Linked DNA regions of Oryctolagus cuniculus. The protein of the gene in region 2 interacts with the protein of the main gene of each other region in a pairwise test. Links are inferred from orthologs where the notes say so. Each region holds a gene or a part of one and is shown on either strand. Other genes may lie near its edges.

Region 1 (4,203 bases), on a different chromosome or scaffold from region 2:
TGTGCACTCCGCTCCTAGCTCAGGGACACAGAATCAGAGAAGAGCCCTCTTGGCCTGCTCTTAAAAAAAAAAAAAAAAAAAAAAAAAAAAGCCCATCACACCCAGGCACATACACAATCCCCGTGGTTACACTAGCAAGGGGGTCCCTTCTATCTCCCAGCCCCAAGCCCTCCAAAACGACCTCGCTCCCTGGCCCTGGACACCGGCTCCACCTTCAGAGTGGCCAGAAACTACCAGATTCATCACAAAGAGCTGTGGGGCCTCCCGGACTCCCAACTCCGGCCTCCTGCTCCCATCTCTCAGAGCTACTTGGCAGGAAGAGGAATCCAGTTCCTCGACTCGCAGCAGTCGGGGGCCCCAGTACCCTTGCTGCCCCGCCAGCCAATCACAGCAGCCTACTGGCTGCCCTCCTCCCCGGGAGATGGGGCCCAGAGACTCCTCTCAGGGTCAGGAGAAGACTTGGCTGGCCACGGAGCAAGGTGCCAGCTCCCCCCACCCGCTCCCCCAGCCCCTTAGGAGATGATCCGTGGGCCCTAAAATAACCTCTTCCAGATCCAAACAGCTCCCCCGCCTCCTCCCCAGGCCAAGCAGAACCGATGACCAGTGGAGGGGCCCGGGGAGCCACTTCCCAACCCACAGGAGTGACAGCAACTCCCCACTGGGTTATGAAAGACCTTGGTCAGAGGGCCGGGCCGGGGGAGGGGGCATCGTTATCACATGGGAAGCAGCTGCAGCTCAGCTCCCTGCCTGGGCAAGGGCCTTTGGCTAAGGGGGAAAGGCAGAGAGATGTGTCCACCAGGCCCAAAGCAGCTGCTCCAGTTCCTCAGCACGAGGACAAGGAAGGGAGGATTAGGGCAGGCACTGTCTCCCTGGGGACGCGAGGGGAAGGAAAGAAGGTGGGAGGAACACCTCCTCAGAGCGGCCAGGGCCTGGCTTTAATCTGCTCCGGGAGGCTTTTCTATCACAAAGTCCACAGGAGGAGGAAAAAAAAAAAAAAAAAAAAAAGCTCACCGCAGGCAGCCCCCTCCCCCACAGGAGCACATTCCACACCCCCAGTCCAGTGGGGGTGTGCAGGCATGCCCTGTGCTGCCAATAAATAACTCATGGTGACTGTGTAAACCCAGAGGCGAAGAACTAGTGAGTGCAGACACGCAGCTTCACTTGTTGCTATCTGGGGGAAAGACCAGGAAGCAGTGGCACCCCCTGGAGGCCAGGGCAGAAGCCACCCTGACCACCACACCACACTGCCCCATCTGCAGTTCCACCCCGGTTCCTTTCCCGAAAAGCATCCATATGCCTTAACCCCTTCCCTCCCCAGGGCAGGGCTGAAAGCCTCTGGAGTCTTGGCTTTCCTTTCCCTGGGAAGTGGGGAGACAGCCTGTGCGGGGGTGGGGGTGGGGGGCGCAGGGGCAGCTGCACACGCACCCGCAACTGGCGGGGAGACACAGCGTGGTCGGTGTAGATGCACAGTTTTTCGATGGTCAGGGGCGTGGTCTCGCGCAGCTTGGAGGCCAGCAGCATGCAGACCGCACCCAGGAGCTGCAGCTGCGCCTTTCGGGTGGGGACGCAGGACAGGTAGCGATCCAGGTAGTTCATGGCCAGGGGGAAGACTTCCTCCTCACAGCGCTGCTCCTCGCACACCTGGGGGAGCACGAACTGTCACGGACGGGGCAGGAGCATGGGAAACGAGGCGGCAGGAAGAGGGTGGGGTGGGGTGGGGGCGCCGAAGGGAAGTGGAATGGGGCGCACGGCCACGAGAGAGGGTAAGCGGCTTACAGTGACAAGGACCAGTAACGAGAGGATGCACCCTCCCCACGGCGACGCCGCCCCCCCCCCCCCGCCCGTTTCCTCTGAGTCGCCTCCTCCCCTCTGCCCTGGAGGGGGTGGCAAAGCAAAGGCGCCCTTCCTTGGGAGGAATCCCAAACAGTGATTCCCCTCCCCCACAGCGAGGCGAAGGGGCAGGAAGGGTCGCCCGTGGCTGCCAGAGGAGAGCCTTGCCCCCGGCGACCACCACCCACCGCACACACCCAAGGGGAAGGAAGGAGGCTCCAGCCGCCGTCTCCCACAGTCTCCTTCCCCGTCGGGCCGGAACGGGCGCGCCACCCCACCCCCAGCCAGCACCCCGCGACACACGCAGGAACCGAGAAGACCGGGCGGGGTGGGGGTTGGGGGGAGCAGGGGCCGTGGAGGGGACGGCCGGCTCGAGCAGAGGCTGGGCCAGGGTGCCCATAACCGGCCGTGCCGGTCGGAAGGAACATATCAGGGTCAGGGAGGGGACGGGGACACAGCGGAGACAGCCGGAAAGGCCAGGCCCCGAGGGTCGCGGCCGCCGAAGCATCTTGCAGAGCGGCGTGGGGCCCTAGATGTTCCGACAGGGCGGCCCCCGCAGGTCCAGCGGTGGGGGGCAGCGAGGGTGGGGTGGGGGGCGTCCGGGCGGTACCTCCAGCATCCAGTACGCCAGCATCTTCCGCATGTGCGGCTTGATCTCCCTCTGCACGCACTGGAAGTAGGAGGCGCGGGGCACGTAGCGCTCCTCCAGGCGGAGCAAACTCTGCAGGACACGCTGGTCCCCCAGCAGTCGCGGGTCCGGCCCGGCCCGGGGCGCGTGCCGGGTGCCCTCGCAGCACAGCAACTCCATTCTCAAAGACAGCGCACGGGCAAGGGCAGGAGCGCGAAGTCGCGAGCGGGGACGCGGGCGGCGGACCGCAGAGCGTGGCGCACGGGTCTGGCGCTGGCGCTGGCGCTGGCACTGCGCGGTGCAGCCCCGGCCCGCCCGCCGCCCGCGCGCGCGCCGCTTCCCTGACAGGCGCCCCGCCCCTCGCGACGATGTAGCAACCGTGGAATGCTCGGACGTCGCAACGTTCCAAGGGGCGGGGCCGCCGGCGCCCCAGACGGAAAGGGCTGGCGGGGCGCTCTCCCCGCCCCCGGCGCGGCCCCATTGGCCCGCGCGGCGCAGGCCGGCCGGCTTCCGGGCCCGGGCGCTCCCGACCGCCCGGCCGAGTGAACTTTCTGGGAGGTGGGCCTCTTTCCCCGTCAATGGGCCTTTCCATTTTGCTTCTCGGATTGCAGTCACCCAGGAAGCGACTTCTTTGCAAAGGTTAATCATTCAGTCATTCGTCAAACAGCTTCAACAGCCGCTTGCTCCACGGAATGTAATCATAGTTTTTAATGAATGCTGTTTGAAGCATTCATGTGAAATAACGTATTCAATCTTTTTTTTTTTTTAACTCTCTTTGAAAAGCAGTTACAGAAAGAGGGGGAGACCGGGGGTGGGGAGATCTTCCACCCGCTGGTTTACTCCCCCAAATGGCCGCAAAAAGCTGAGGCTGGGCCAGGCCAAGCCACGAGCCTGTAACTCCGTTTTTGGTCTCCCACGTGGGTTGCAGGGGCCATAGTCCGCAGCATTCCCAGGCCATTAGCAGGGAGCTGGATGGGGAGTGGAGCAGCCTCCTATGGAATGCTGGGGTCGCAGGCGGCGGCCCCAGTAACTTAGAAAGCCTTTGCTAAAACACCATCAGATAGGTATTAGGCTTATTTTATAAATTTGAGGAAAAGGAGGCACAGGAACCGCAACATCAGGCAGACAGTCCCAGGCCCTCCGGCTCCGGAATCCGGCACTGCGGGGCCGGCACCATCAGCACCCCCTCCACACCCCCACCCCCACCCCGGGGGTAGGGGGGAGGCTGGGCCGGTGAGAAGCGCAGTTTCTCAGGCCCACCACCGGCCAGCCACGTCCGAATCTGCATTTTAACTGCATTCCTGTGCACTTGGAAGTCTGAAAAGCTTCGGTCTAACCAGCTTAATACAGAAATGCAACAGGGCAGAAAGGCCATGGATTCAAGGCCTCACCTTGTCATTAAATTGATTGTGTGGCCTTAGTTTCTGCTTGGAGCAAACATGGGGGTGGGGGCTGGCTCCTGCCTCAAGGAGTTGACCACGCAGGCTGCAAGCTCTCCCCGCTGCCACTTCTCTCACCTCCCAGACGCTGGGTCGCTGTGCAGTGTTCTCAGAGGCTGGATTCCATATGACTAAGAGGCAGACCACAGACTTACAGAAATGTTCCGGACGGGAGGACGCATGGGGATCCCTTCCTCCCTTGGGGTCCTCCCAACTTAGGAGATACCAAGGACGTGGGTAACTAGAGAAATGACAGTGTATAGACAAGTCACATGTTCTCTCTGAGAATCGGTCTCTTTATTAGAA
Region 2 (6,081 bases):
ACCGGGTTCTAGTCCCGGTTGGGGCGCCGGATTCTGTCCCGGTTGCCCCTCTTCCAGGCCAGCTCTCTGCTATGGCCAGGGAGTGCAGTGGAGGATGGCCCAGGTGCTTGGGCCCTGCACCCCATGGGAGACCAGGAAAAGCACCTGGATCCTGGCTCCTGCCATCGGATCAGCGCGGTGCGCCGGCTGCAGCGGCGGCCATTGGAGGGTGAACCAACGGCAAAAAGGAAGACCTTTCTCTCTGTCTCTCTCTCTCACTGTCCACTCTGCCTGTCAAAAAAAAAAAAAAAAAAAAAAAAGAAAGTGAAACAGTGCCTTCAGCCTGTGACATTTTACAGCATTTTTAAGAACAGTGTCATAGTAAAATAGAAATAAATGCTGGATTTGGAGTGAGAACTGGGTTCACTCTGGGCTCTGTAATGGAACTCACTGTGTGTGACCTTGACAGTTCATTTCATTCCTCAGCTTCCCCATCTATAAAACGGGAATAATACCCCTGACCTGTGTGTCTCAGGAAGCCTTTACAAGACTCAATGCTGGCCGGTGCCGTGGCTCACTAGGCTAATCCTCCACCTGTGGCACCAGCACACCGGGTTCTAGTCCCGGTAGGGGCGCCGGATTCTGTCCCGGTTGCCCCTCTTCCAGGCCAGCTCTCTGCTGTGGCCCAGGAGTGCAGTGGAGGATGGCCCAAGTGCTTGGGCCCTGCACCCCATGGGAGACCAGGAGAAGCACCTGGCTCCTGCCTTCGGATCAGCACGGTGCGCCGGCCTTGGCGGCCATTGGAGGGTGAACCAACAACAAAAAGGAAGACCTTTCTCTCTGTCTCTCTCTCTCACTGTCCACTCTGCCTGTCAAAAAAAAAGACTCAATGGTGATGGACTTAAAAGTTTTATGTATGTAAGTTTATATAAGTGATCATATCCATAAGTAATACATAATTACATACCACATATCCATATAGAGACATGCTGTTTCAATGAAAGCTTTTGGCCTTCAGTTGATTTAGCTCCATCTAAATATATTCAAAGCTGCGAATAAAAAGACTCAATTTCTAGATAACTGCTTTGATATTTCTTGATAACTGCTTTGATACTTCGAGTTATCAATTTCTAGATATCAATTTCTGCTGATGATATGAAAAATATATAAAAAGAGCTAAAAAGGAATCAAAGAAAAATTTTCAAAGTCTTTAGTAAAGACTCTCTTTTCTTCCTCTCTGTACTATCTTTTCCAGACAGACAAGTGCATTTCTTTTCATAATTGGTAGCGGCACTTCCGTTTTCTTTTTATTCCTGTTACAGACTTTGCTGTTAAGCATATCTGTGTGTTGGTCACACTGTTGTTTCTGTTCGTTGATTCCAGTGACAGTGTGCACGAGTCTTTGTCTGGACAATGCGGCCCTCAGGATGCCCGGCAGAGGCACAGTCGCAGTGTCCTGCCCCAGCCCCCAGTGACAGGTGCACTTAGGACAGAGGCATCTGCTGTTCCCGAGTGAAGTCTGACCTGGGCTCTCTGGGGGTAAAGGAACGGGAAACAGAGCTGTGGAAACCCCGTGACAGTTGCACCAGGACCTCCTGAAACCTGGAACTACGTTCAGGACAGCACTCTCTCCAGGCCCTCAGTCCTCGTGAGTGCCGTCCAAGGAGAAGAATGTGCCGTACGCCAGCACCCTTGCTTTCCCACGGTTCCGAGAAGTCTCCTCCAGCGTTGGACTAGCTGTGCCTCTTGTCCACCACACTGAATTTTTCTTTTATTCAGAGTTATCCGGAGTCTGAGATACAGATTCTTGCATCACCTGATTTTCCTTGCTCAAACCCACTTACCCAGCCATGTATCCATTTTAAATCATGTCTATGTATTGTATACATTGTGCAGGGCCACCAGCTTACTAATGTGTCCGAAGAACCTGAAGTTACACATAAGCAGAATTGAAGCAGTTCATGTTTTCAGTGTAGTGGTGATATACTTCCTCTGCATTTTGGATTAACAGGATGATTTTCTGATTGTGATCATAATGGATAATGAATGGATATTGACTGTGTTGGAAACTGTGCTATGCAGCTTATGTAAATTATCGCTGATCCTCATAACAGCCATCAGTTGTTGCCATTGTCATAAAGATACTAAGAATCATAGGTGCTAAGGCATGTGTCCTTACCTGCCAGTAAGAATGCAACCCACATCTGCCTATTTCCAAAATCTGTGTTGTCTTTCACTTGCTGTTCTCTGCAGCTTTCTGATCCCAGAAAAGTTTTCAGGGGGAACATGAATAGTAGTCTTTTTAATTTGTTTTTCAGAATGCCATATACTTTCCCTTATAAAATAATCTGTGCCTAAGACTAATGTATCTTTTAGCCTCATTTTTGTTGTTGGATTCTAATATATGTAGTTACTCTGTGGAGAAGCACTCTTTGGTCAGAAATGCAACCCAGTCGATGTGTTGATAAGCCGTGTTGAATGAGCATCATAGAAGCATGTCAGGGCTGGAGTGTCCCATCAGGATGCAACACTCCTGGGCATAAAGCCACACACACACACACACACACACACACACACACCCCGGCAGGTCTCCTCTGAACATAGTAAGTCCCGTGTTGAGGCCTACACACAAGTAATGCACTCTTCCATTTCTCCATCATCTTTTACATCTGGTGTCAGCTGCGAAAATAATCTCTCGTCACTGCCCAGTGGAGTTAACAGTCCTGGGAGCTTCCCCGGTAGCATGTGACCTGCCCTGTTGCAGTAGGACAGAGGCGAAGGAGAGAGCCTGGCTCACCACGTGAAGGTTTCCTGGGCTCCTGCGCCCTCCTGCCTGGCCCTCAGAGCCGGCTGTCCTCTAGCATTCCCTGAGGGAAGAGCTTTGGCAGTGCCCAGTGCTCACGTGCACCTGTGGTTCTTTCCTAGCGTCATTGGACTCCCAGGAGAAGAGGACTGGCCCAGAGATGTTGCCCTTCCCAGGCAAGCGTTTCATTCCAAATCTGCCCAGCCGATTGAGAAGTTCGTAACAGATATCGATGAACTAGGCAAAGACCTGCTTCTGGTAAGTTCGCCCTGTGCTGATAAGACGCCTGCCCTGTCCAGGCTGTGTGGCAGCAGGAGGACCCGTGCAGCGACTGCTGCAGCCATCACCTGCATCGCCACAAGAGCCCAGGGCTGCAGTCCCCCTATAAGTTCCCTTCCCGCACCTGGAGCTACTAGTGGCTGTCGATCCCGGGACATCTTTCCAATCCACACTCTTGAAAGCCACCGCCTTTGAACTTGTGTTTGGGAGCGGCCTTTCTAAGGCTGTGGGCTCACTTGGATATGTGCTTCTTTACCAAAGTCCCGCGTCCTTTGATGTCTCCTGGTTTACAGTTTCGTGCTACCTTTAGCAATTTGGGAGTCATTTGGGGTGCCTTTCCTTAAATAGTCACATGCTTAGGAAAATGATTTTCCAAAGGAACTACCGAGTATGCTTATCAGTGATTGAAGTGTTTATTAAGTGATTTCCTATAGCTGGAGGTCAGAACAGTAGGTGGAGGAGCTCACCTGCCGGGCTGCTCTTGGTGCCTGGAGCCCGGTAAGCAGTCATCAGCAGGTTTTGATGCCTGCGTCAGCCTGTGGGTCAAGTGCCGTCTTCTCCGCGTGTCCCATTCTGGGGCCCAGGACGGAGATCAGACTCGGAAGGTAGAGGCAGCCAGCAGGGCAAGCAGAAGCACGGGATGCCCCTGAGAGCCAAGGCCTGGGAAGAAGCACCCTGCCTCTGTCCACGTCCCATTGGCCAGGGCCAACCTGAATGGAGGAAAGAATGCGTATGTGTACATACACATGCATGGAGGGGGAGGGGAGAGAAGAAGGAGAATATGTGGTTACAAAAAAAGTTACGCACTCAATCTATCCTAATAGTCAACTCTTGACTCACATATGATTCCAAAAGCTCATTTTTTAAAGAATTATTTCATTTATTTGAAAGAGTTACACAGAGAGAGGAGAGACAGAGAGAGGTATTCCATTCTGCAGGCTCACTCCCCAAATGACCGCAATGGCCAGAGCTGTGCCAATCCGAAGCCAGGAGCCAGGAGCTTCTTCCAGGTCTCCCACGTGGGTGCAGGGGCCCAAGGACTTGGGCCATCTTTCACTGCTTTCCCAGGCCACAGCAGAGAGCTGGATCAAAAGAGGAGCAGATGGGACTCAAACCGGCACTCATATGGGATGCCGGCGCTTCAGGCCAGCGCGTTAATCCGCTGAGCCACAGCATCAGCTCCCCCCCCTCCCCAAAAGCTCATTTTATAAGTCAGTTAAGAAACTGGGAAGTAAATTAAATTGAACAATATTACTACACAATTTAAAGAGCCTCCTTCTTCCTCAAGCAGAGCAGCAATAGGAGGTCACTGCCTTTGCTAACAGTATCTCCATAGGACAAAGTGCAGCAGGGCTTCCCAGCTGGCTGGAGTCCTCCCTCTCTCCACCCTCTTCCCTGCACCCAGCCCTCAGAGGGGCTGTGGGGAAAGGGCTTGCAGGCAACCCTCCAGGAACACCTCCCTGTGTCCGGATCACATCCCACGATTCTTCTCTCTTTGCTGTGTCCTGCCTTTTCTAACAGCACTGCCTGATTTTCTATTTCTTAGATTCTGGAAAGACAGAACTCAGGCTCCAGCATGTTGCCCCAGGGTAGGTGTTGTGGTGCAGCCAGTTAAGCCTTATCATGGGCTGCCTGCGTCCCCTGTTGCAGTGCCTGGAATCACGTCCGCCTCCACTTCCCATCCAGCTCCCAGGAGTGCACCTTGGAGGCAGCAGATCATGGCTGTCTCTGGAACCCATAGAGGAAACCTGGATGGAGTTCCTGGCTCCTGGTTCAGGCCTGGCCTAGCTCTGACTGTTGTAGGCATTTAGGAAGTGAACTAGCAGATGGATGTTGTCTCTTACCCCCTTTTCTCTCTCACTCTTATTCTCTCTTGCTTTCTCGCTCTCTTGCTCACTCGCTCTCGCTCTCTCTCAAATAAATAAAAATTACTAACTAGGTGCCAGCATTGTGGTACAGTGGTACACCACTTGAAACTCTGGCATCTTGTATCAAGGGACCGATTCAAGTCCTATCAACTCCTAGCTGATGATGGCCCAAGTAGTTGGGTTCCTGCCATACACATAGGAGACCTGGGTAGAGTTTTGAGCTCCTGGCTTGGGCCTGGACCAGTCCCAGTCATTGCAGCCATTTGGGGAATGGACCAACAGACAGGAGATATTCTCTCCATGGATATGTGTCTCTCTCTTTCTTCCCACATTCCACACCCTTTCCCTCTCTCTCATTCTGCCTTTCAAATAAGTAAATCTTTCATTTAAAAAATTAAATAAATAAACATTTAAAAAACAAAAAACCATGTGCCTCCTATGTCAGGAGCTCGGGAATTTACCTGAAATTTTAGGCAGAATTTTCTGTTCGTGTTTCTCTAGAACAGCAGCTTTCTGCAGAGGTTTAGAAGAGGCCCTAAACCGGTCAGGACAGGGTTGGGTGAGCAGGAACCCAGGTGAAGTGGAAGAAGCCTGCCTAAGCCTAATGACGTCACACGGAGGACAAGCGCTGTGGGCATCTTACGTGGCCGCTCATGGCAGTGGACGCTGCTTCCCAGAGAGACACGGAGACGCTGCTGCAGCTCCACTGCTGCGTGTGAGCTCCTGGCTCACGGGGTGGCCCCTGCTCCTCAGATAGTGCCTGTCGCCTGCTGGGTGCTCCGTGGGCGGTGCTGGCGGAGGGGAGAAGTCTTTTCCCAAGGGGCAGTTTATACCAAGGGGACATGACACAGAGTGCTGTGCTGGTACCCTAACGAGGCTCTTGAAATAGACGCTCATTGTCCTCGTGGTACACGCAGGAAGAAGGCAGCGCTGTCTGCGTATCACTCATGTTGACAGGTGTCACGGCGGTCGATTATGTTTTCTGTGTATTGCAGAAGTGCTTGACCTTCAATCCAGCCAAAAGAATATCTGCCTACAGCGCCCTGGCCCACCCGTACTTCCAAGACCTGGAGAGGGGCAAGGAGAGCTTGGATCCCCACCTACCGCCCAGCCAGAGCGCCTCAGAGCTGAACACAGCCTGAGGCCCAGCGG
Region 3 (4,284 bases), on a different chromosome or scaffold from region 2:
ACTTACACCTGGATCAAAAGCAAGGGTGCGACCAGCCCCAGGGGTCGGCTTCCTCCTCTTATGCTACGCAGGTCACCCACCTCCTCCCAGTCTTATTCAGATTAAATTAAATTCCATCTTACTCTCCAGACGTGAGAGCACGCGGCAAAATAATAATATCTACACTGAGGGCAAAATCAATGATCGATTTCTACTGCAACATGAGAATCTAGCTGGTTAAGTGATTTATGAGCAGAATTAAACTTGAATGCCTTATAAAGTTTTATTCTCCTTGTTGCCCATGCACCATAATCTAGGTTTAAAAATATTTGTTAGGTAGTCACCTGTTTTGTGTGTGTGTGTGGGGGGGAGGTTGGAGTAATGTTTTAGGGGAGAAAATAAGAAACAACGTAATTCTCTTGTAAGAGGCTCCTGTTTTTTCTGTCACATGTGTCTGCTCATAAACCAAATGTAATCTGATAATCCGAGACAAACTTGGAGATTAGAGGACAAAGTAAAACAAGTCAGGCATACTCTATAAAACGACGAAAACAAATGACTTATCTTGAATTAATGGTTCACAGCTTTTCACCTTTTAAGTTAATGTTATAGAGGCAGACTAAAATTTAGAGTGTAATATAAATATAACTGTAAAATTAACATACATATTTACCTCCTACATGATTTTACATTAGATAGTAAATGTTTTGCTGTATAGTTTGTACATTATCAGTGAAATCAGAAATGATGCATAACTAAAAATGTTTCAGAGGAATAAGCCTATAGCATTCATTCATCTGTATATATATGTGCATTATGTAAGCATTTGCTTTCATATTTTTGTTAACAATAAACAATTTTTGATAACTGCCAAAAAACTTATTTGCTCTTGTGAATTTATGTGCTTCAAAATGTTAATACAATTGAAAGGCAGTACACCTTTAGTCTTGTTTCAAGAATATAAAAACTTTTATTTTTTTCCTCAGAAACTATGATAAACATAAATCATTCTTACAAATGATGTACAAAGTATTTTATATAGAGAGAAGGGGAGGGAGTGGTTCTTAGTGTCTCAGTAAATGGTAAATTAAAAACACAAATTAGAAAACTTGCTTTTATAACTATTAATATCATTTTAAGTCTTTAAGAATCACTTTACAATATCTTTGCTTCTTTCAAATCTTCCTAACTTTACTTTTCTAAAAAGTCAAATGGAATGAACATGTATTTTCTTTAAAAATCTACACTATTAATGAGATCCTTTAATATCAGCTTAGTTCTGGAGAGTGGCAGTGAGGAGAATAGTGACTATGACCATAAGGGTCACAGTAAAGTTCAAAAGCATGCTGTTAGATTTTAAAGGAATGTAAAAAATGTCAGTACTAATTAATAATAGCAGCATTAATACCAAAACACTGATAAGTGCATTTTAACGATGAAGAGACTACTTGTGAATGTCCTGTACCAATCAGAAAGAATCTAATAGTTGCTGCAGAATTGGTTTTGTAATTGAATTGCTGAGTATAGTCGTTAAAACAATAAAAATATGGAGCAGCATATTTTAATCACTCAAGAAACACTAACATAAAAGGAATTAAGGAGTGTTGTTGAGGAATATGATCTCGTCTCTTTGAATTCAGTTCACTCCTATGAGAGAAAATATAAAGGATTCCACATGGAGGCTTAAAAGTTCACTAATTTTTTCTCATGCATTATGATATTGTAAATTTCTTAAATCCAACATAGATTGTGTAACTTATAACATCTTTGTCACTGAAAGGAGACAAAAAGATCCATCCTCCCCAAATAACTTCTCCTTCCCCCTGTTCTCTCCATTCTCTGCATCTTTAATCACGAGACGGTAGAGCAAGTATGGTGGTAATTCGAAAAGTTACTGGAAAACAGAATTTAAACACAAGCTTATTTTGGTGCAAAAAATTTTTTTGAAATCTATTGTTTTTGCCCAACACGCATTTTCCACGAACTTTTTGAAAATCCCACGTATGCATAGATTTCGATTTCTTTTTGCAACAAGATAAGCATCGTTTAAAACCGTTTTCCAATAGCAGTACCCTGGTATTGCTATTTCCCCGCCGTTCAAAAGAAAACCAAAGCGGAGCAGTGGGTTAGTCCACCCCTTTCTTGAGGATTTTTTTGTTGCGTAAAAACCAGCCTAACGACTGGCCTCCCCCTGCAGCTGGCCAGGCTGCGGCCGCGACCTCGGCCCCAGCTCGGACCCGCGGCGGCCGCGCCCCGCGCTCTTGCGCCCCCTGCCGGCGCGGCCCCGGGGCCCCGGCTACCTGGATCGGGCGCCTCCCGAAGCGGTTGACTCCGTTGGGATCCGCGCCGGCTTCCAGGAGCTGCCGCACCTTCTCCACTTGGCCCCGCGCCGCGGCGCTGGCCAGGCCCGCATCGCTGCCTGCACCACCGAGCATGCCCTTGTCCTCGTCTCGCATTCCACGGCCCCTACACTCGGGGCGGCCCGCCACTCCTCCCTCTTTGGCCACCCCGCCTCGGCGCGCTCTCCCCTCCCCGGGAGAGCTCAGCGCAGCTTCTGTCCCCGCTCGCCGTCCTCGTGCGACTTGGGAGCCGATGCAATGGCCGCACGGCCTTGACGAGCTCCAGGCTTTTTCTGGCGCCCACGAACCCGCGGCCGCGCTCAGCTCACTCCTGGGAAAAACCCTTCGCGCGGCCGCAGCCGCAGCCGAGCGGGCGCTTTCTCGGCGTCCTCGCTGCCCGGCCTCACTCCGGCAGAGCTGCGAGCCAGCCGGGAATGAATTCCGTGTCCAGCTGGGCGGCGGGGCTGCACCCGCCCCACCCCCTTAGGCTCCGCCCACTGTCCCGCCGGCGCCCGCGGGACCGGCCCTCTGGCTCCGCAGCAGCCCCGCCCGCAGCCGATGACGTCACAGCCGACGGGGGCGCGTCCCCGTGAGGCTCTGCGACGCATGCGCCAGTCGCCACGCCGGGAGCCTGCGGGAGCGCCATCTGCGTGCTGCCCGGAGCGATTCGGAGACGTTGCCCCACAGCGCTCCGCTCCAAATCCCCAGCAGGCGGAGCAGAGGGCTGCTGTTAGTCGCTCCTTGTGCAATGGAGTGGCCGAGGAAGGCCGTGAAGAAACCTCCAGCCCTACTAGAGTACCTGAACGTGACAGCCCTGCACCTGCCGTGCAGGTTAAGTTCATCCTCAAGCAGTGCTTGAACTTCACGGGTTTCACATCTTGCATTTTAGCGTTGCTTTTGGTGTGTTTTCCTATTTCCACCAGGACGACAGTGAAAAAAATCCCGAGAACCCTACTTTTTAGATTCTTTCCATGTTTGAATTATGAGCACAATCCTAAAAGCAAAAGAAAGCAAAATAGAAAATACTCCCCCAAAACCTAGTCCAAAATCGAGAGGGGCAACCTGGCACAGTATGTATTTTAAGAATCTGACCTAAATCTGTGTATAAGAAATATATGAAACTTGTATAACTTAAATAAAATTTAAAAAAGAAAAAAAAGAATCTGAGATCCCTGTTTGATATTTGTACAGTATATCTTTGTTTGCACTCTTACCTATTTAAACCCAGCTCGGCAAGTATTTGATTTTTATTTTTCATGAGTAATAAAGGACATTTATGCAGTAATAATGAAACATAATAAAACAGGGGTGTGGTATTGATCCTGTCATTAAACAGGCTGAACCTGTCATTAAATTGGCCTCTGAAGATTTAAAGGCCAAGTGCTATTTTCTCTTTCCTACTTGCTGGGTGAGTTTGAATCAACATATTTACTGCTTTAAAGATAAAAAAAATTGCAACTTGAAATAGGACGGGAGCAAAAAATTATGTGTCTATTTCCTAAGAACTTTGGTGATGAATTACTTGAGAGTGGACCTCTCCTAACACTGAAGGGTTCTTATTTAGAAAATTGTTTTGGTTCAGAGTGCTGAAAAAGGCAGTCTTACGAGTCATTTGCTAGCTTATTCAAGAATGACAGACTTCTCAGCATGTTTCTTGTAGCATGCCTTAGATCCTATTCCCTCTCTGGCAAATCAATGTAGGAAAAGAAAAAGCTCTTTCCTTACACACAGTGTGGCCCATGAAGGTGGCATGCAAGGATGAAGACCTACTGATGAGCCCCAACAGGGCTGAAATTCACTAGGAGTGGGCAGGGAAGGAGGCAGTATGCATAGCAAGTTCTCTTTCACATCTCACCTGCTGTTTCTTAGTTTTCAACTTCCTTAATTTCTCTAACTATTGTTCTCATCTGAACATCCACATTCATCTGGGAAAATGTTATTTCATTTGTTAACAACCACCCCCTTC

Evidence for each region.
Region 1: the proteins of CDK6 (region 2) and CCND3 interact in binary tests that used the Homo sapiens proteins (3 or more experiments, as listed by UniProt). The link is inferred for Oryctolagus cuniculus from reciprocal best matches to the Homo sapiens genes CDK6 and CCND3.
Region 3: the proteins of CDK6 (region 2) and CDKN2B interact in binary tests that used the Homo sapiens proteins (3 or more experiments, as listed by UniProt). The link is inferred for Oryctolagus cuniculus from reciprocal best matches to the Homo sapiens genes CDK6 and CDKN2B.

What each region holds. Positions count from the first base shown.
Region 1 is NC_091436.1:127,963,374-127,967,576, reverse strand, and holds the start of CCND3 (G1/S-specific cyclin-D3), read right to left. Parts: upstream 2,801-4,203; 5' UTR 2,639-2,800; coding exon 2,441-2,638; intron 1,642-2,440; coding exon 1,426-1,641; intron 1-1,425. UniProt on the Homo sapiens protein: Regulatory component of the cyclin D3-CDK4 (DC) complex that phosphorylates and inhibits members of the retinoblastoma (RB) protein family including RB1 and regulates the cell-cycle during G(1)/S transition.
Region 2 is NC_091447.1:43,167,848-43,173,928, forward strand, and holds part of CDK6 (cyclin-dependent kinase 6), read left to right. Parts: intron 1-2,904; coding exon 2,905-3,040; intron 3,041-5,924; coding exon 5,925-6,071; 3' UTR 6,072-6,081. UniProt on the Homo sapiens protein: Serine/threonine-protein kinase involved in the control of the cell cycle and differentiation; promotes G1/S transition. Phosphorylates pRB/RB1 and NPM1.
Region 3 is NC_091432.1:185,075,825-185,080,108, forward strand, and holds the start of CDKN2B (cyclin-dependent kinase 4 inhibitor B), read right to left. Parts: upstream 2,801-4,284; 5' UTR 2,436-2,800; coding exon 2,280-2,435; intron 1-2,279. UniProt on the Homo sapiens protein: Interacts strongly with CDK4 and CDK6. Potent inhibitor. Potential effector of TGF-beta induced cell cycle arrest.